3 linked regions of the Arabidopsis thaliana genome follow. The protein of the gene in region 3 binds, or shares a complex with, the protein of the main gene of each other region. Each region holds a gene or a part of one and is shown on either strand. Other genes may lie near its edges.

Region 1 (5,821 bases), on a different chromosome or scaffold from region 3:
ATATGCACGAACCATCTTCATCAATGGAATAAACACTCTCCACACAAATAGCTGCAACGCATTATGATTATCCGCAGCAACAAAGCCTGCTTCAACCTCATAACCATCAATTAAACAATTCTGTAATCACTAACACATCATACATATCTAAAAATTCAAAATTGGTAACTCACCAAAATTCTTTAGTAGATGACAAAGCCCAGCCACCAATGAAGCTATGTGGTTGCAATCATCAGAATCAAATCTCTTGTCCCCATTTACCGTATCCTATTCAAAAACATGTTCAAATCTTAAATTGAACAATCCGAAGCAAATTGCCGAAGTGTGAAACAATAAACCAATCAATCAATACCTCTAAACGAAAAGGGAATTGCTCAATGAGAGATTCGAAAAGAGTTGAAGGAGATACGCCTGTGGAGCTTAAAACACAGTCAAGGAAAGCAGGAATAGCTGCTGGTGGAACTTGCTTGAAGCTCAGTGACAATGAAGTAATCACTGACGAACCCATTTCAATTGAAGCTTCGAACTTCAAAAAAATTGGCTGCAAGCAGCCAGAATAGATGAAGAAACGTAAACGAATTTGAAATTAGTACAGAGGGAAGTGTTACGAGGAATCTCTCTGTTAAACCCTTTCAAATAATTTTCATGGCTTAGGACAGATAAACCCTAGTCGTATAATTAGGGGGGAAATTAGAATTATTGATAAGGGCTTTCTTGGGCTTAACTTAGTATGATTGGGCCGTATGGGATAGACTTCAGGAGAAGAAAAAAAAAAAAAAACCGGAAATTGTTCGGGGGATTGAACCCGACGTGAATCGAACACGCAACCTTCTGATCTGGAGTCAGACGCGCTACCATTGCGCCACGGATCCGGATGTTATTATGTTGCATTTATAAAATTATAATACCGTAGTATACGCAAATTAAACAAAACATTTTGAGGACGCGTTCCCAACACGGCCGGTGACCAAAGAGTCAATTTAAGCCCGCTTTAAAGATATCAAAATGATATAAAACTCTAATTGATCGAGTTAACGGCAGGAGAATCAAAGCTACTAATCATAATCAAGAAATTTAATATATATACGCTATTATTATTGTTTTGAACGATAAACACGTGGTCTGGTCGTGATTAAGGTCCTAATTATGTCAACGTTTGCCTGCCACATTGCAGACCGAAGTACTAATTCCACACCGACTGGTCTACGACATATTTAATTCATAAACACAATACTTTATAATTAAATTGATTCTTGTAGAGATTTGGCTTCATGATCTGATTTATTTAGTTAATAACCATTTCAACAGATAATTACAGTTTAGAGCCTTTTTCCAGTTGTCAAGAGTGTTATGGTTTTAAAATGGCACCCTGTAAATATCACATATGTTAGTGGATTTATTTTACCAAAGAAACAAAAAATGTTAATGGATTAAAAAACTTGTGTTTTTTTAGATAGCAAAACCAAAAGAAGATATGGTGACCACTAACACGATCAGTCGAAGACAAATGTTTCCCAGACTTTATTATTGGCGTTTCCATTTTGCATATTAGTCAAATTATGGAGCATCGCAAATATCTAATAAACTAACTATATAAAAAGTTATTATAATACAGGGTTACCAATTCCGTATATTCAGAATATTCCTAAGAGGTGCCATTTTGACTAATAAAATGGACGGATCTTTGATTTATTCCGGAAGTGAATGGATATTAGAAGAAACAAAAGAAATTTTGAATTTCTTGTCCAAAAAATATTTTTCCCATTCTTAGTATACAGAAACATAGAAAATATCGTGTATGCTTACGTAACAATCAAGTTGTAAAAAGAAAAAAAGACAGAAGATAAATAGTACAGAATGAACATAACAGAAATCAATCTATGGAATTAGGTACAATTAGGTTCGGTCTAACTGAAATTACATGACGACAGAAAAAACTGAACTAAACGCCGATTCTATTAACTTCCAAAACTGACTCGTCTCACACGCGCTTACTATGATTCACACGTGCGAATATGCCATCATATAAGCGCTACTAAAATTCATTCCAAAGGAAAAAGAAAAATAAATAATCGATCTCAACCGTCCGATCATCCATCTTGCCATCACCGTTCACCAATCTTCTTCGTCTCCTCTCTCTTTCTCTCTTTTTGCTGTTTCTAGCTCCTCTCTCTCTGGATCTCGCCGGCGAACCGTTTCTCTTGGGTGGTGAGTGTTGCTTCTTATTTTTAAGAATCTTTTTCTTTTATTTCCATCGAATTTCGTTTTTTTGAGTTTGATTTTTGGCCTGTGGAATTCTCGATGTTTCTACATTGATCGTCTGGTTTCGAATCGTGTTTTACTGGTACAATTTTGATTCCATCTCCGTATCTTATGGATTCGAAGAACTTTGTGTTTTTTTTTTCTTTCTTCATTGATGCTACTTTGCTAGGGTTTACACTTTTTTCTTCCATGGTAAAAAAATTTGAGCAAAGTTGTTGAGATTCTTCTAGACTGTTTTCAATTTTACGTTTCACAAAGATTTTTTTAGATGATTTGTTTCTAATGAAATGGCATTGTTTGTGTTCTGTTTCCATATGTGTAGATTTTGAAAATATGTTTGTGATGATTGTGCAGTAAACAGTAGCAATCAAGCTATAGAATCTCAGATATCGCTGAATTAGCTGTTGGATTTTATCCGCCTTTTCTTCGTTATCCGGGGCTCGGGTATAAGGTTTCATCGTCTTATTTCATCTGTAAATGGGCTGCTTCCACTCAAAGGCAGCAAAAGAATTTCGAGGACACGAAGACCCTGTTAAGCTTGCCTCTGAGACAGCTTGTAAGTTTACTCGCGCTATAAGTTTAAACCTCCTCTAGATTCATTTCTCTCAAAGCTGCATGTTCATTTGTTTTCTGATATGAGATGAGAATCATCAGTTAGATTCAAATCATTCTTTCTCTGTTCACTGATTTAGTTTATCTCCGGTTTGGATTTTTTTAGTTTTGTGTTTTGGAGTCTTTGTCTGCCTAACAATTTCTAGTAATGATCCTTCAAAGTTGGTTAACACTCTATCTCATGTTTCTTGTTACCAATACCATCACCTTAATCTTGTTCCTTAACTTGTCAAGACGAGTTCTCTCTCCATGCAAATTCTAAATGTGAATTATTAGTCTCTTTGTTTGTTTGTTTGTTTGTTCCTGGTAATTCTTTGTTTTGATCTCGTAGTGTTGCTTGTTTTTTTCTCTTTTCCAGTTAGTGTGAGTGAGGTTGAAGCATTATTTGAGCTATTCAAGAGCATAAGCAGTTCGGTTGTTGATGATGGTCTGATTAACAAGGTACAAAGTTTGTTTCTTTTGACCCAATTTGGATCTTTTCATGACCCCATCGTTGTATCTTTTTGTTCTTTACGCTATTCATCTACAGTATTTTTCAACTTAGTTGACTTTATTTGAGCAATAATTATTCTTCCATGACGATATGTCTGTTCCATATTGCATCGATTCAATGTATCGTAGCCCTTAATGTTTGACTTGAACTTAACTTATTTTATTGATTGCTTTGATTTTGAATTTTGAAGCCTTCATGGCCCACCTTGTTTATGTTGTTTTTTAATCCTGGCTTCACATGTATGCAGGAGGAGTTTCAACTTGCTTTGTTCAAAAGCCGGAAGAGGGAGAATATATTTGCTAATAGGGTAAAATCTTAATTCTTCAGGCTTTTACAAGATTCATCTTCTGGAAGAGTGATCTAAACCAAGATAATATGTCCATTATCCTAAACAATATTGCTTTTCCGCAGATATTTGATATGTTTGATGTTAAACGAAAAGGAGTCATCGATTTCGGGGACTTTGTAAGATCACTCAATGTTTTCCACCCCAATGCTTCTCTAGAAGACAAAATAGATTGTAAGTTGACATAAGATAGTTTCATATATAGGTGTTTATTGAAGCTTTTGTGAAGAGATTTATTGATTCTGGTCTGCCATTTTTTCTCAGTTACGTTTAGGCTTTACGACATGGACTGCACGGGTTACATTGAACGACAAGAGGTAATACTAACTTGCAAGCTTTGAATACTAGTCATGATAGATCTTTGCCATGTTCTTGAGTATTCATCTTTTACTTAATAACTTTGCAAGAAATCGTTAATGAATGTGATATATTTGCAGGTCAAGCAAATGTTGATCGCGCTTCTCTGCGAATCTGAAATGAAACTGGCTGATGAAACCATAGAGATAATACTCGATAAGGTTTGTTGTTGTCTAAGGCTTTATTTTTCTAGATGGTATACATTTAGAGATGATGTTCTTAATGTGGTTTCCTTCGTCCTTCTCATATATGAACAGACATTTGAAGATGCAGACGTGAATCAAGATGGAAAAATTGATAAATTAGAGTGGAGTGATTTCGTAAACAAAAATCCATCATTGCTTAAGATCATGACTCTTCCATATCTCAGGTATATTACAAATTGCCTTTTATGGAAACCAAAGAAAACTGAAAAATGCCAAATGAAATGTCATATTAACTTGTACATAAACAATGCAGGGATATTACGACAACGTTTCCGAGTTTTGTCTTCCATTCGGAGGTCGATGAGATTGCCACATGAAGAAACAAACTGGTTTAAGACCGAGTAGATTGCCACGAGTTGGAAGAACAAGTCTGAGCTAATCGGTGTAATCAACATCTGTTTGTAAACAGTAGTAGAGCATATTCTCTTGAAATTGTTTGGGTTACTTTTTTCTTCTCACAACAGTTTAAAATTTTGGGTTTTTAGCTTACAAAAAAAAAAAAAGAAGAAGCGCGTAATCACCAATCCTTCACTTCATATAGTTAGGAAATGTTAATGAGTTTGTACATATTACATCATACGTTTGTTGTAATTGTTTTTTTTCAAGTAAAAAAGTAAAGATTTGTTACGTTTACTCGGGGTTCTAATTGTTCCAATGGAATCTTATACTGCAAAAACGTGAATTTGAGATTTTGTTGGGTCCTTAACCGCAAAAGCGAAAGTACGAATGTCCTAGGACCCGACCCGATGAAATTTACAGTCTTGCCACTCTTCTCTTGTTACAGTGTTCCTCTCTTCTCTCTCGATTTCGAAGTTTCCAGCAATTTAGGGTTCTTTCTCGATTGGAGAATTCGTATGTTGTTATCATGTTCTCGTCATTGTTGTGCTTTCTTTGTTAAATTCTAGATTTGGAATCGAAATTCTAGACTAATGTTTAGGAAACGGAACTTAGTTCTAGAATCATTTCGTCGATTCGATAGCGGTAACGTAGAAACCCTAATTTCATGGGTCTTGTGTAGTCGCACCTCAAAGCCGTCTCTGTTCTGTACTAGTGTTAAACCTGCTAGATTAAACTGGGAAGTTTCTTCTCAAGTAATTCTCAAGAAGAAGCTAGAAACAGCTCTTAAAGATCACCGTGTAGATGATGCTTGGGACGTGTTTAAAGATTTCAAACGCCTCTATGGATTTCCAGAGAGTGTAATCATGAACAGATTTGTTACTGTGTTGTCTTACTCGTCTGATGCTGGTTGGCTTTGTAAGGCTAGTGATCTTACTCGTTTGGCTTTGAAGCAAAATCCAGGTATGTTAAGTGGCGATGTGTTAACAAAGTTGTCGTTGTCTCTAGCGAGAGCTCAGATGGTTGAATCTGCTTGTAGTATCCTTCGAATAATGCTGGAGAAGGGATATGTTCTAACCTCAGATGTATTGAGGCTTGTTGTGATGCATATGGTGAAAACAGAGATTGGGACTTGCTTAGCTTCGAATTATTTGGTTCAGGTTTGTGATCGTTTTGTGGAGTTCAATGTGGGGAAAAGAAATAGCAGCC
Region 2 (5,443 bases), on a different chromosome or scaffold from region 3:
TTCTTACAATCTTTCATTTTCCTTTTTTTGTTATGCAATAATCTGTGAATCAGTGAAAGTTTATCTCTACTGAACTACTGATCTTCAGATTTTGTAATCTTTCTGCTTTAAAAATCTCTATGAAGTAGTCTCAAAGATAATGTATCGAAGGTCTTTGACTTGTAAAGCAGACCTATTTCGTTTTGACGCTTGATAATTTAATCAATAAGAGATTTTATTTTTTTTAATATGCTTTCTACTGTTAATACATCATCAAATAGTAGCGTTTCCAGATGGATGTTTGTGAAAAGTCATCAAGTAAGTCATATTTGTGAATTAATCAAAACCGCACTTCATCAACCAACCAACCAACCTCCAAAGAATTTGGGCTTCAGTACTAACGTCCTTTAAGGGTGTAACACATTACTGCTCTGCTCTTATTGCCGCAACTAATTTGACTCAATTTTAAGTACAAAATGGACCATTAAACTGTTGTCACTTGTCAGGACCACCGGCCCAAAATTAGTAGGGACCTTAGGACAGTTTGATATTAGTCTTTTAGTAAAAAAAAAGTTTTTTTTGTTTATCTATAAGAAAATACAATATTTTTTTAATAGATCTTAATTTTCTAAAATATCAACAGTCTATGTTTATTTTTGTGTCTGATTTAAAAAAAATTAGTTAGTTATCAAAACTTAAAACAAAAATATTAGGTCCAGGACTTTGGCATCTCCCACTTTCTTGAAAAACATGGATACTGTATGGACCTTCTTGTTTACTATTGTCATAATCTTTTTTCTCATAATCTTTTTACTATACTCATAATCTCTCCTCCTCATAATACATCTCCCACTTTCTTAACACCTCATAAGTCTTCTCATAATCTTTTTACTATCATAAAAGTTTCTGCTTGTATTGGAATGAAAGAATTTGACCATTTAATTTGGAATTCTAAACCCAATATAAAATTATAAACCACTCTTACTAGAGCCAGGATCCCAGTTTCAAATTTAATATACGTAACATGCATGATTTGGCCATGTCTTATGGATATGCTAATCCATTTCTTTTTTTTAGGCGAACATTATATAGTTTACATTATTGGATTGTTGGATGGCGTACGTACTTAATTAGTTTCAAAATTTGATAATATACATGATTAGATCATGTCTTATGGTTTATATAAAAGTAATTATGTTAATCCATAATTCTTATTTAGACCGCCTTTATACTATTGGATTTTTGTTTGTCCTACGTGATTGATTAGACTACTAAAATGTGACCAGAATTATTATAATTCTTCGTTTATCCCAAAAGGTATATGACCCATATTGAAATTATTATCAAACACACTCTACATGAATCTTGAATATATAGATAAATACAGTAATTAGTCCCCTTGCTAGTTGGGTTATCATATTAATATTTATTTATTGCAAGATCTTGAAGACTATGAGATCTTGACATCTGTATGGATTATGAAAATGAAAGATCCAATTTGAAAATTATATCTTATACAAATAAATATCATTCTTAGTATCTTTTGAGTATGTTAAATCTTGACTCTACAAGTACTAGTTACCTCTCTACACTTTTTTTTTCTTACAGTTATAAACTTACATAAAAACAAAATTCGAGTCTAAATATTTTTCTTTTAATAAAAAAACAAAAACAAAACAAAATCATTGCAGAATTGTAAGAAAACTTGTAAAAATGATTAACTTTCTTAACCAATAAAAAAGGAAAGTTGAAAGTTGAAATTTCGAAACTAAAATGTCAAACAACAATAATGGCTTTGTTTTCTTCCCACACTGTAATAAAAATAAAATAAAAATGGGGTTGGTAGAAAAAAAGAGGTAAAAATGACAAGGATGTGTTTCACACGCGTTCAGACCCTCACACGTGCGACGATCATGTTATAAACAAACTCTCTCATAATTTCCCCAATCGGAGGCCTCTGACGAACAAAAAAAGCCCAGCAAAGTCTGAAGTTAATCTCAGCCGTCCGATCAATTCATCTACCATCGTGGTCAGAGATCTTCTTCTTCGTCTCTCTCTCGTTTCTCAAAAATCAAAATCCCTTCCTCTCTCTCTCTCACCGAGCCGGCGAGCCCGTTCTCTCGGTGGTAAGTGCTCAATTTTTCGATTTCACCATTCAGTTTCTGGGTTCGGAGATTCTCGAGCCGCTCCTACATTACCTGTTTAATTTCCGATTTAATATTCAAAATTTTGTTAATCTGAATTCGATTGCCACATAGCTGCTGCTTATTTTTTCTAGGGTTTATACTTATTCAATTATCGTGTTCGTCTTTTAATTCAATTTTTGTTGGGTTTTGTTTTTGATTGAATCATTGTAGTTTTTAAAGATGCTTATGATGATGATGGGGAGTGAGTAATATCAGAAATCAAGCTTTTTCACAATCTCAGAAATTGTAGTAGAGTTTGGCGATTTTATCAACCTCCGGAACAAGCTTCTTCTTCTTCGTTTTACTCTTGTCATCCGTAAATGGGTTGTTTCCATTCCACGGCTGCCAGAGAATTTCCCGATCACGAAAACCCTGTGAAGCTTGCTTCTGAGACTGCTTGTAAGTTTACTTGCACTATACGTTTCGTTTTCTCTTCTTTGCTTTATTCTCAAAGAGCATGAGCATAAAGATCTCTCTTTTATCAATTGTTAACTGATATGAGAATCTGTTTTCGCCATTTATTGAATCCGAAAAATGGTTCTTTCATTCATAATCTATTTGATCTACAACTTTGTTAAATGATGCTTGTTGTTACTTAAGTCATCACATAAACCTATTTCAATAGTTTCTTGGATCATTAGTGTAGTTTACTTCTACTTTCAAATGGAATCTTAATCAGAGAAAGTTTTCAAGAACCATCACTTTCGATTTTTGTTTTGGTGATATACATGATGTTGATGAGAAATCTCGCAGTGTGGCTAATTATTTGTTTGTTTTTCTAGTTAGTGTTAGTGAAGTTGAAGCATTGTATGAATTGTTCAAGAGCATAAGCAGCTCGGTTGTTGACGATGGCTTGATAAACAAGGTAATGATAAATCTCATAGCCCTTTGATTATTTCGCACCTCATGGGAGAATCTTGAATGCGTGATGTACAGTGACATAATAATATTCATTGCACCATTATCCATATTCCGTATTATTTGTCAACTTTCTTGACTTTCACAAATTTATTATTGAATCTCCATGCTGAGCTGTGGGCTCCTTATTGCTCACCAAGTCTCTGTGTTGATGATAGTTGACTTGAATTTTAATTCCATTTTTTATATTGGTTTGCTTATAAAAATTGATGTTTTCTTGGCCCACTCTTGGATATTGTTACTTATTTTCTCGACCAACTTGTTATGCAGGAAGAGTTTCAACTTGCTTTGTTCAAGAACAGAAAGAAAGAAAATTTGTTTGCCAATAGGGTAAATTCTAAGTTTCTTTGGCCTTAGTAACTTTGTAGTTAGTCGTAACGATTAGTTCTATTATAAGTAGTTAATGGTAATGCTCTTTTTTCCAGATATTTGATTTATTTGATGTTAAACGAAAAGGCGTAATTGATTTTGGAGACTTTGTGAGATCACTCAATGTTTTCCATCCTAATGCTTCCCTAGAGGAGAAAACAGACTGTAAGTTGACCCATAAACGAGTTTATATCCATCGTCGTTTCTCTAAAGCCTTGCTGTACTTTTATTCATGTTATTCTGTATTTCATATATCAGTTACCTTTAGGCTTTACGACATGGACTGCACAGGCTTCATTGAGCGCCAAGAGGTAAACAATGGTCCTATATCTTCACATTCCATTCCCAAACAATCTATGTTTCAAAGACTTTCAGTATTATGGATTCTGCATCATCTATAAGTAATCATAATTGTGTATGCGTTTTTGGCAGGTGAAGCAGATGTTGATTGCACTTCTCTGCGAATCTGAAATGAAACTGGCTGATGATACAATAGAGATGATACTTGATCAGGTTTACTTGTTGTCTATTACAAGTTTGTTTTCTGTCAAAAGAAAGACTGTTTTATGAAACTCGAGTTTTTTTTTCTTTTCGTGAACAGACATTTGAGGACGCAGATGTGGATCGGGATGGAAAGATTGATAAGACAGAATGGAGCAATTTCGTTATCAAAAACCCATCTTTGCTTAAAATCATGACTCTTCCGTATCTCAGGTATGTCTCCTTACTATGATACTTCCATCTATTTGGCCAGTTTTGGTGCCATTTTCCAAGTTTGAGGACTTAAAAACTCAATTTTAGGGATATAACGACGACATTTCCGAGTTTCGTATTTAACTCGGAGGTGGACGAGATTGCGACGTGAAAGAGACAAGACAAGCTGGTTTATAGAGACCAAGTCGTAGGCTGGACCAAGAATAAAAAGAAGATTGATTCCAACAATGTTATATAGCAGGATCGAGCTCTATTTCCTTTGGAATTTTTAGTCTATTGGATTTCAATTTCATGTATTGCGATTACTTTTGGCTCTCTTTCTTTAACAGTTTTGAATACTCAAGTTGTAGTTCTACGAAAAGATTAATATAAAACCACAATTTCTGATTAAAGATTTGATTTTGCTCATAAATTATTCCAACACTTTATGTTTTATGTAACGAGAAATCAAAGTCAAATATGCTTAGACAGAAGAAATTAGCCATATAAATCAATTTATTATTATTAAGGGAATTGAAAACTTCAAAAATACCAAAATGAAACTAAAATTATAATCAAACCAGACCTGAATTTATTGTAACCGATAAATCCGAATTGACGTGTGTGGTGCCGGCTTTGAGATGAAGACAGACCAATGATGATCCCAGTAGCTAAAGAACTCAAGCGGATTCAGACATTCCATGCTGTGGAGTGATTCTCTCTAATCCCCCTGTACGGCGACGCTTTTACATATCCTCCATGTTCTTTGACTACAAAAGCCAAGTTTGAGGATCATTTAGTTGAAACTCAAGAGTTCAGACAAGAATCATTTGTATGAAACTCAAGAGTTGATACCAAAAAGAAATTTCTCACGGAAGATGACACTTCCCCTGGCACAATCTAGATGAGCGTGATAGTGGGACGTTGTCCATATCTAAAAAAAGAAAAATGGCATGGTATAGAGAATCCCGGAAATACGGAGAAGAGGTTAATCTGTTGTATAACCGCAGATTCGACCTCGGATTAGTACTGTATTGTACTCTATAATTGCGCTTAACTCGCAAGTTTATGTTCATGGTTTTTTTTTTCCTTTTAACTCTGTGTGTGCACTTATCCTCCATACTATGGGTGTGATTGGTAACATGAGTTACCATGAGTTATATATGCTTGCACAAGTGATCTATCTTCTACACCTAGCCACATACGTTTATGTTAATGGTACACCTTAAAAATTTGTGTATTATAATGGAAGAAAAACTTAGTTCATGTCTATGTTCAAACTTCCAAAAAAGAATATT
Region 3 (7,489 bases):
CATAAAAAAAAAGAGAGAAATACTCTAAAATACTATTAAACTAAATTTGTGTTTCATATATATTTGGTCCAACTGGTCAGAGCGCGAGTCATGTAATTAATAATTATCTTAATTTAATGTTTTCTATAAAAAAAGGTCTTAGAACCTGTTACAATAAAATAAAATATAAACTCTTGCTCTATAATTAACATGTTTTCAATTTATCTAGCATAAATATTTTCCAAACAAGAAAAAATGATAAAGTGTGTTATATAGTGAAAAGTTAAAACTTGAAAAAACAAAGAAACATAATCCATTTTAGAACAACTAAACATAAATTAAATCAATTAAGTTTTTAGAATATTATATATATATATATATATATATATATATATATACTAGTTGTATTTGTCACAATCAGGACTTAGGGAACCCCTCCAGTTTCTATTTGGAAATACCAACTTGTCCCATATTGAGAATACATTCCTATATAAGATAGGAATTTGGAAACACCCGAACAGTTATGGGATGGAACAAGAAGTGTGCTAACCTCTAACTGAAATATTAGTAAATAAAGAAAATTCTAAAAGTAAAAGAAAATTGGTTGTTACGCATCTAACATTCTCTATAGGAAATAGCCATCTCTATGATGATTTCATACTTTTGCCAGTTCCTTGGCTTATCTAGGATTAGCTCCATCATTTGGCAATCCGATTTACGAATTCTTCCTATCAAACTCACAACACTCTTTTCACTAGAGCAATATTGAAGTAGATCAAATATATTTAAAAGGTCATCTTCCTCCCCTAGCGACATAGCAATCAAACCTTTATGATTTATCTATAGCAGTAGACATCTTGTAAATTAAAACTTTAACTATATGAAATTTGAGAAATCCAGAACTTGAAGGAAAAAATAGCAACAAATATTTGTAGTAATAAGACCACTTTAATGAGGTAACTGTTATAAATGTGATGATTATCCATCACATTACTTCTCTTTCAAGAAAATGGATAGTTATCCAAAGTTCATTATTATCCCTCATCATTTTACATTATCTACTTAAATCCTAAGTAGCTTCCTCCCCAAACAATGGTAGTTATCATATCCTAAAGGCTAAATGTCTAGCTTATCTTAAATTCCCTATATATACGATGATGGACAAGAAGTGAGTAAGATAGACGAGGAAAAGGTGAACAAAAGGGCTTACGATCTAGGGATGATGAACCAAAATATTTTTCTTTTATGCCCAAACAAAGAAAAACTATTTTTTTACGATTTGCTTTTCCTTTACTCGTTAAAATAAAAGTATGACAGTTTAACATTTATTGCTCTTTATGCAAGTATGCAACCAATCATACCATAAGTTGCAATCAATATCTCACTTCAAATCTCCATACCACAAATGAGCCCAAGAATGTTATATGATCGATCACCTAAAATATTTTAAAACAAGTTTTAAGTCGTGTCCTACATCTATATGTGTTTTTTTTTTCCTTTAGTTAGAAGTCAAACAAACAATAAAATAGTAAGTATAATGATTGAAAAACTTGAGATCATGCTCTGATGTATAAATTTTTGGTCAACTCTTCCTCTTCGGTCTAATTTTTCTTCTTCTGTTAATACAATTATTTATGAGCAAGAATGATATTTTATTTTATCTTGAAATGGAGAAGCCACCATTAATGCTACAGTAAGGGTTAAGACGTGAAAGTGGGGCCAACCACTGTGTTGCCGAGAGAAAACTTAATTCCTTGAAAGTGAAGGGATCCAAAGTCAGAAATGACACACACACCCGTAATAAAGCCAACTAGCCAAGAGTTTTTTTTTGTTATAAAGAAAAAAAAAAGGTCTCACTCATCAACAACGAGTGAAAAAAAAATGTGAAACCAATAAAGCCAAGAGTTAAGCTGCTTATTTTGCCTCTTTTGCCGAAACCAAAAGAACAAAAAAAAGGAACCATCAAAGAGGAAGCCAAGAAAAAAAAACGTCGGTGATGAGAGGAGGGGCTTTGTTATGCGGACAAGTCCAAGATGAGATTGAACAGCTTTCGAGAGAGAGTAGTCATTTTAGTCTTTCTACTGGAATTTTACCTTCACTTGGTGCAAGAAGTAATCGACGAGTTAAGCTTAGGAGATTCGTTGTATCTCCTTATGATCACAAATACAGGTTTCACTCTTTTGTTTTTTGTTTTTCTTGTTTCTCTTCCATGTCAAGCTAAGAAGACGATTACCATTTTAACTTGATATATATTTCAACTATATAACTTCTGATTCTTTCATTTATGAGGATCGGAAACAAGAAATTAACTTTACTTTAGGATCATAGTTAACAAATTTGTATTTTATTAAATGAATACTGAATATAAAAAAAAATTGTATTCTTTTTAATGGTTGGTGATCAACTTTTGTAATTTATTGTGGGTAAATACTATTAAGTATATGCACTAGATTAACTAACCTTATTTTCTATGAGTTAGGTGAATAACTATTTGGTTAGGTTACAAGTTTACCCTCAAAATAGTAAGAGTTTCATGTTGGTTTTAAACAAATAACATGTTATTTTATCTTATTGGACTATTTTATTTGAAAAATGTTTTAATTTCTTCATAAAATAAAAAAATTACGTGCAAATAAAAAATGCTAGTTGGTCAAACAACACAAAAATGTTGGTTTCCACGTTTTTTTACCTCAACAACAATTGATTTTTAATAATAATATTTTCTTAGGTTAATTTGAAAATTTTAACTACTTGACGACTAAAGCTCCCTTTTTACTCAACATTTGGAATATTCAAATCCTAGTTCCCTAATATTCAAAAAAGAAGATCTATAAATGTGAAGGCTATTGTAGAATATTCAAGGCTCCCATTATTACTCTCGTTGGCTAATTAGCTTAAAAGCCGCCTTTGCTTTTGGCTTTTGCTTTTTGGGGATAATTTATAGTAATTGAAAAAGAGAATGTGGAACATTCAAGGCACTCATTACTTGATTTCAACGACTGATATCAAATCTGATATATTACTATAACCAAAAGTAGAAAAAACTGTACTTGGTTGTTGTATCCTCAATAGCGTCATCAAATAGTAACATACTATTGAAACACAAAGTACTGATAAATTAAATATGAGACTTACTTGGATATATTCATGCAGTAACTTAAGAGATATGTTCAACTACATGTAGAAAATGTACTAGATTATTGAATATGACTGAAATGGAAATGTTGACTACAGGATATGGGAGGCTTTCCTAGTGGTTCTTGTGGTTTACACAGCTTGGGTTTCGCCTTTCGAGTTTGGGTTCTTGAGAAAGCCAAGGCCACCACTATCTATCACCGATAACATTGTGAACGCATTCTTCGCCATCGATATCATCATGACATTCTTTGTTGGTTACCTCGATAAATCGACTTACCTCATTGTTGATGACCGTAAACAGATTGCATTTAAGTACTTGCGTTCTTGGTTCCTTCTTGATCTTGTTTCAACCATTCCCTCAGAGGCTGCTATGAGAATCTCATCTCAGTCTTATGGATTGTTTAACATGCTTCGTCTTTGGCGTCTTCGCAGAGTCGGTGCCTTGTTTGCCAGGTTAGAATCACTAAACTTTTCTTCTTTCTTTCATTATTTTCTTTAATCTTGACATTCTCTGTTTAACAGACTAGAGAAAGACCGCAACTTCAACTACTTTTGGGTCCGATGCGCAAAACTCGTTTGTGTAAGAACATCAAAATGTTTTGCTTCTTATAATGTTATCTTTATTCAAACTACTACACTCTCGATGTAGTAATAGTGTAGATACTAACCAACCAGAGCATTTTTGCAGGTCACTCTTTTTGCGGTTCATTGTGCTGCATGTTTCTATTACCTTATCGCAGCGCGCAATTCTAACCCCGCAAAGACCTGGATTGGTGCAAATGTAGCAAACTTCCTAGAGGAAAGCTTGTGGATGAGATATGTGACTTCCATGTATTGGTCCATCACTACTCTAACCACTGTTGGTTATGGTGATCTGCATCCTGTGAACACAAAGGAGATGATATTTGATATCTTCTATATGCTCTTCAACCTCGGATTAACCGCTTACTTGATTGGTAACATGACAAATTTGGTAGTCCATGGAACAAGTCGGACTAGAAATTTTGTAAGTTAGCATCTTCATATCCATCTTCAATCTTTGAAGCATATCCATCGCGGTTTATAATATTTTGTTCTCATTTTGCAGAGAGATACAATCCAAGCTGCTTCAAATTTTGCTCATAGAAACCATTTACCACCTCGTCTGCAAGATCAAATGCTTGCACATTTATGTTTGAAATACCGGACTGACTCTGAGGGTCTGCAACAGCAAGAAACTCTTGATGCACTCCCAAAGGCCATTAGATCGAGTATATCACACTTTCTTTTCTACTCCCTCATGGATAAAGTCTACCTGTTTCGAGGAGTATCCAATGACCTGCTTTTTCAACTGGTATACTAATGACAATGCATGTGAAAACATCATTCATATCCCATTTTCAACACACAAATGAAGCTACCACTACTTTGTACATTTTACAGGTCTCAGAAATGAAAGCTGAGTATTTCCCACCAAAAGAAGATGTTATCTTGCAGAACGAAGCGCCAACAGACTTCTACATCCTTGTGAACGGAACCGCGGTAATAAAACATTACAAAGTTCTCTACAGATTTGTTGAGTTGACATAAAACTTACTTCTCTTACATATCCGTTATGATGCAGGACTTGGTGGATGTAGATACTGGAACAGAAAGCGTAAGTCGCGTCACTTGATGGATGTTTCTTATTTTATGTTTATCCCTTTTGTCTCCATACCTGTGATCTTGGAGTTATGATGTAACTAAGCATTCACAAAGAGAAGTTTATGGAGAATTTCAGATTGTGAGAGAGGTTAAAGCTGGAGACATTATAGGGGAGATAGGGGTGTTATGCTACAGACCACAACTGTTTACTGTGAGGACCAAACGTTTGTGCCAACTGTTGCGTATGAACCGTACAACTTTCTTGAATATTATTCAGGCCAATGTTGGTGATGGTACCATAATCATGAATAATCTACTTCAGGTGAATAAACAGATCCTTCTGAGGTTTTCAAATATTGAAAACAGAAAAGTATCTATGAACTATTACTTACTTGTTCTCACTCTCTTTCTTTGTGGAGAGCAGCATTTGAAAGAAATGAATGATCCGGTGATGACGAATGTTCTGCTGGAGATAGAAAACATGCTTGCACGGGGTAAAATGGATCTTCCTCTCAATTTATGCTTTGCTGCAATAAGAGAAGACGATTTACTTTTACATCAGTTACTAAAGAGAGGACTTGATCCAAATGAATCGGATAACAATGGCAGAACACCTCTGGTCAGTCAAGTTCACATTCTTGTTCTGTTATTTTCTTCTCATCCAAGCTCTTGGAGACTATAACTTATGATCTCTTTTTTTTTTCTGGAAACAGCATATAGCAGCATCAAAAGGAACTCTAAATTGTGTTCTTCTTCTGTTGGAGTACCACGCAGACCCCAATTGCAGAGGTACTTGCTTGTTCAGTTCTGGTACTTCCCTTTTGATTTCAGGATTTCTTCTGAAGTATTGAGCTTCTTGGTTTCTTCGAAATGTAAACGCAGACGCGGAAGGGAGTGTACCACTGTGGGAAGCAATGGTGGAAGGGCATGAGAAAGTTGTAAAGGTACTGTTAGAACATGGCAGTACCATAGACGCAGGGGATGTGGGTCATTTTGCTTGCACGGCGGCTGAGCAAGGAAACTTGAAACTACTAAAAGAAATTGTTCTTCATGGTGGAGACGTTACTCGTCCTAGAGCCACAGGCACCTCTGCGCTCCATACCGCTGTATGCGAAGAGAACATTGAGATGGTAAAGTATCTTCTGGAGCAAGGTGCGGATGTTAACAAGCAGGATATGCATGGTTGGACGCCGAGGGATCTTGCTGAGCAACAAGGGCATGAGGATATTAAAGCCTTATTCCGAGAAAAGTTACATGAGAGGAGAGTGCATATCGAGACAAGTTCTTCGGTACCTATACTCAAAACCGGGATCCGGTTCCTCGGAAGATTCACTAGTGAACCCAACATCCGTCCTGCATCAAGAGAAGTGTCTTTCAGGATTCGAGAAACAAGAGCAAGACGTAAAACTAACAACTTCGATAACTCGTTGTTTGGTATATTAGCAAATCAAAGCGTACCCAAGAACGGGCTAGCTACGGTAGATGAAGGCAGAACTGGAAACCCGGTGAGAGTGACGATTAGTTGTGCAGAGAAAGATGACATAGCCGGGAAGCTGGTACTGCTTCCTGGGAGTTTCAAGGAGTTGCTAGAATTGGGTTCCAACAAGTTTGGTATTGTTGCTACCAAAGTTATGAACAAAGACAACAATGCAGAGATTGATGATGTAGATGTTATAAGAGATGGAGATCATCTCATCTTTGCAACTGATTCTTAACAACCATAGAAACTCTCTGCCACATTCTATCACCTATTGTTATTAATGACAAGTTGATAACTCTTGTTTTTAACAACTTTGTCAAAAAATGAAAGAGACAAAGAATGCTTAAAGGAAATATATATGCAGACACAACAACCAAAAACACAAGCTGGACCGACCATTGACGGTCTGCTACTGACTACAACAAGTTTTTCCGCAAAAAAGAAGAAAAATATTGTTAACCAGTTTGGTGTATCTGATTATCAAATCAAGAAAAAGGTAAATTCACTGGGAAGACACAAAATATCAAAAGCTGAAAACTCAAAAACCTCTTCTGAAAATTTGCCACTAAGTGGTTTCTAGATTGTGGAGACCTTGGGGACTTCAACTGGGAACTCATGAATTTCATCCATCCATGGGTTCTTCTCTTTCTTAGGGTTTACCGACCTTACCGCTCTCCAAACCGAGCTGTTGCACTTGAACCCCGAACCAAAAGCTATCTGCCAAATTCTATCACCTTTCTTGATCCTTCCTTTGGCCTCACTATATGCTAATTCATACCACAAAGAAGAACTGGACGTGTTACCAAAACGGTAGAGTGTCATCCTCGAGGGCTCCATATGCCACTCTGTGAGTTTCAAGTTCTTCTCCAATTCATCAAGAACAGCTCTCCCTCCTGCGTGGATGCAGAAATGCTCAAACGCTAGTTTGAAGTCTGGGATGTAAGGCTTGATCTTCATCTTGAAGAGTTTTCTTCCCACTAACGTTGCAAAGAACAGAAGCTGTTCAGATGTCGGTAAAACCAGTGGTCCTAACGTCGTAATATTTGTCTTTAGAGCATCACCCGCAACAGCCATAAGTTCTTTCGACAAGGTAACACCAATCTTACTTGCGGAATCCTCTTCTTGAGTTATGCAACCAAAACACTTATCATCAGCTCCCTTGTGAGTCCTAACCGTATCAACAAGCTCATATTTCGATCTTCTTCTGTCCCATCTTTTGTTCGAAAGAAGAATCGCTGCACCTCCCATTCTAAACAGACAATTAGAAAC

Evidence for each region.
Region 1: KT1 (region 3) and CBL1 share a complex: the UniProt entries of both Arabidopsis thaliana proteins name them as parts of the K(+)-channel calcium-sensing kinase/phosphatase complex.
Region 2: KT1 (region 3) and CBL9 share a complex: the UniProt entries of both Arabidopsis thaliana proteins name them as parts of the K(+)-channel calcium-sensing kinase/phosphatase complex.

What each region holds. Positions count from the first base shown.
Region 1 is NC_003075.7:9,814,403-9,820,223, forward strand, and holds CBL1 (calcineurin B-like protein 1), read left to right. Parts: upstream 1-1,951; 5' UTR 1,952-2,208; exon of another isoform or gene 2,209-2,344; intron 2,345-2,584; exon of another isoform or gene 2,585-2,616; 5' UTR 2,617-2,739; coding exon 2,740-2,818; intron 2,819-3,232; coding exon 3,233-3,315; exon of another isoform or gene 3,316-3,578; coding exon of another isoform or gene 3,579-3,614; coding exon 3,615-3,674; intron 3,675-3,778; coding exon 3,779-3,887; intron 3,888-3,977; coding exon 3,978-4,030; intron 4,031-4,150; coding exon 4,151-4,231; intron 4,232-4,327; coding exon 4,328-4,621; 3' UTR 4,622-4,951; downstream 4,952-5,821. Other genes in the region: AT4G17610 (tRNA/rRNA methyltransferase (SpoU) family protein), read right to left, coding at 1-86, 174-267, 353-508; AT4G17616 (Pentatricopeptide repeat (PPR) superfamily protein), read left to right, coding at 5,206-5,821. UniProt on the Arabidopsis thaliana protein: Acts as a calcium sensor involved in the signaling pathway during growth and development and in response to abiotic stresses. May function as a positive regulator of salt and drought responses and as a negative regulator of cold response.
Region 2 is NC_003076.8:19,128,770-19,134,212, reverse strand, and holds CBL9 (calcineurin B-like protein 9), read left to right. Parts: upstream 1-1,908; 5' UTR 1,909-2,105; intron 2,106-2,336; 5' UTR 2,337-2,485; coding exon 2,486-2,564; intron 2,565-2,947; coding exon 2,948-3,030; intron 3,031-3,353; coding exon 3,354-3,413; intron 3,414-3,508; coding exon 3,509-3,617; intron 3,618-3,710; coding exon 3,711-3,763; intron 3,764-3,884; coding exon 3,885-3,965; coding exon of another isoform or gene 3,966-4,022; exon of another isoform or gene 4,023-4,053; coding exon 4,054-4,166; intron 4,167-4,253; coding exon 4,254-4,317; 3' UTR 4,318-4,573; downstream 4,574-5,443. UniProt on the Arabidopsis thaliana protein: Acts as a calcium sensor involved in abscisic acid (ABA) signaling and stress-induced ABA biosynthesis pathways. Contributes to the regulation of early stress-related CBF/DREB transcription factors.
Region 3 is NC_003071.7:11,330,931-11,338,419, reverse strand, and holds KT1 (K+ transporter 1), read left to right. Parts: upstream 1-1,681; 5' UTR 1,682-1,975; coding exon 1,976-2,148; intron 2,149-3,001; exon of another isoform or gene 3,002-3,213; coding exon 3,214-3,570; intron 3,571-3,639; coding exon 3,640-3,697; intron 3,698-3,805; coding exon 3,806-4,123; intron 4,124-4,204; coding exon 4,205-4,450; intron 4,451-4,539; coding exon 4,540-4,638; intron 4,639-4,720; coding exon 4,721-4,753; intron 4,754-4,876; coding exon 4,877-5,062; intron 5,063-5,164; coding exon 5,165-5,359; intron 5,360-5,453; coding exon 5,454-5,529; intron 5,530-5,622; coding exon 5,623-6,455; 3' UTR 6,456-6,570; downstream 6,571-7,489. Other genes in the region: KCS11 (3-ketoacyl-CoA synthase 11), read right to left, coding at 6,797-7,489. UniProt on the Arabidopsis thaliana protein: Highly selective inward-rectifying potassium channel that mediate potassium uptake by plant roots in response to low K(+) conditions, by a calcium-, CBL-, and CIPK-dependent pathway. Positively regulated by phosphorylation by CIPK23.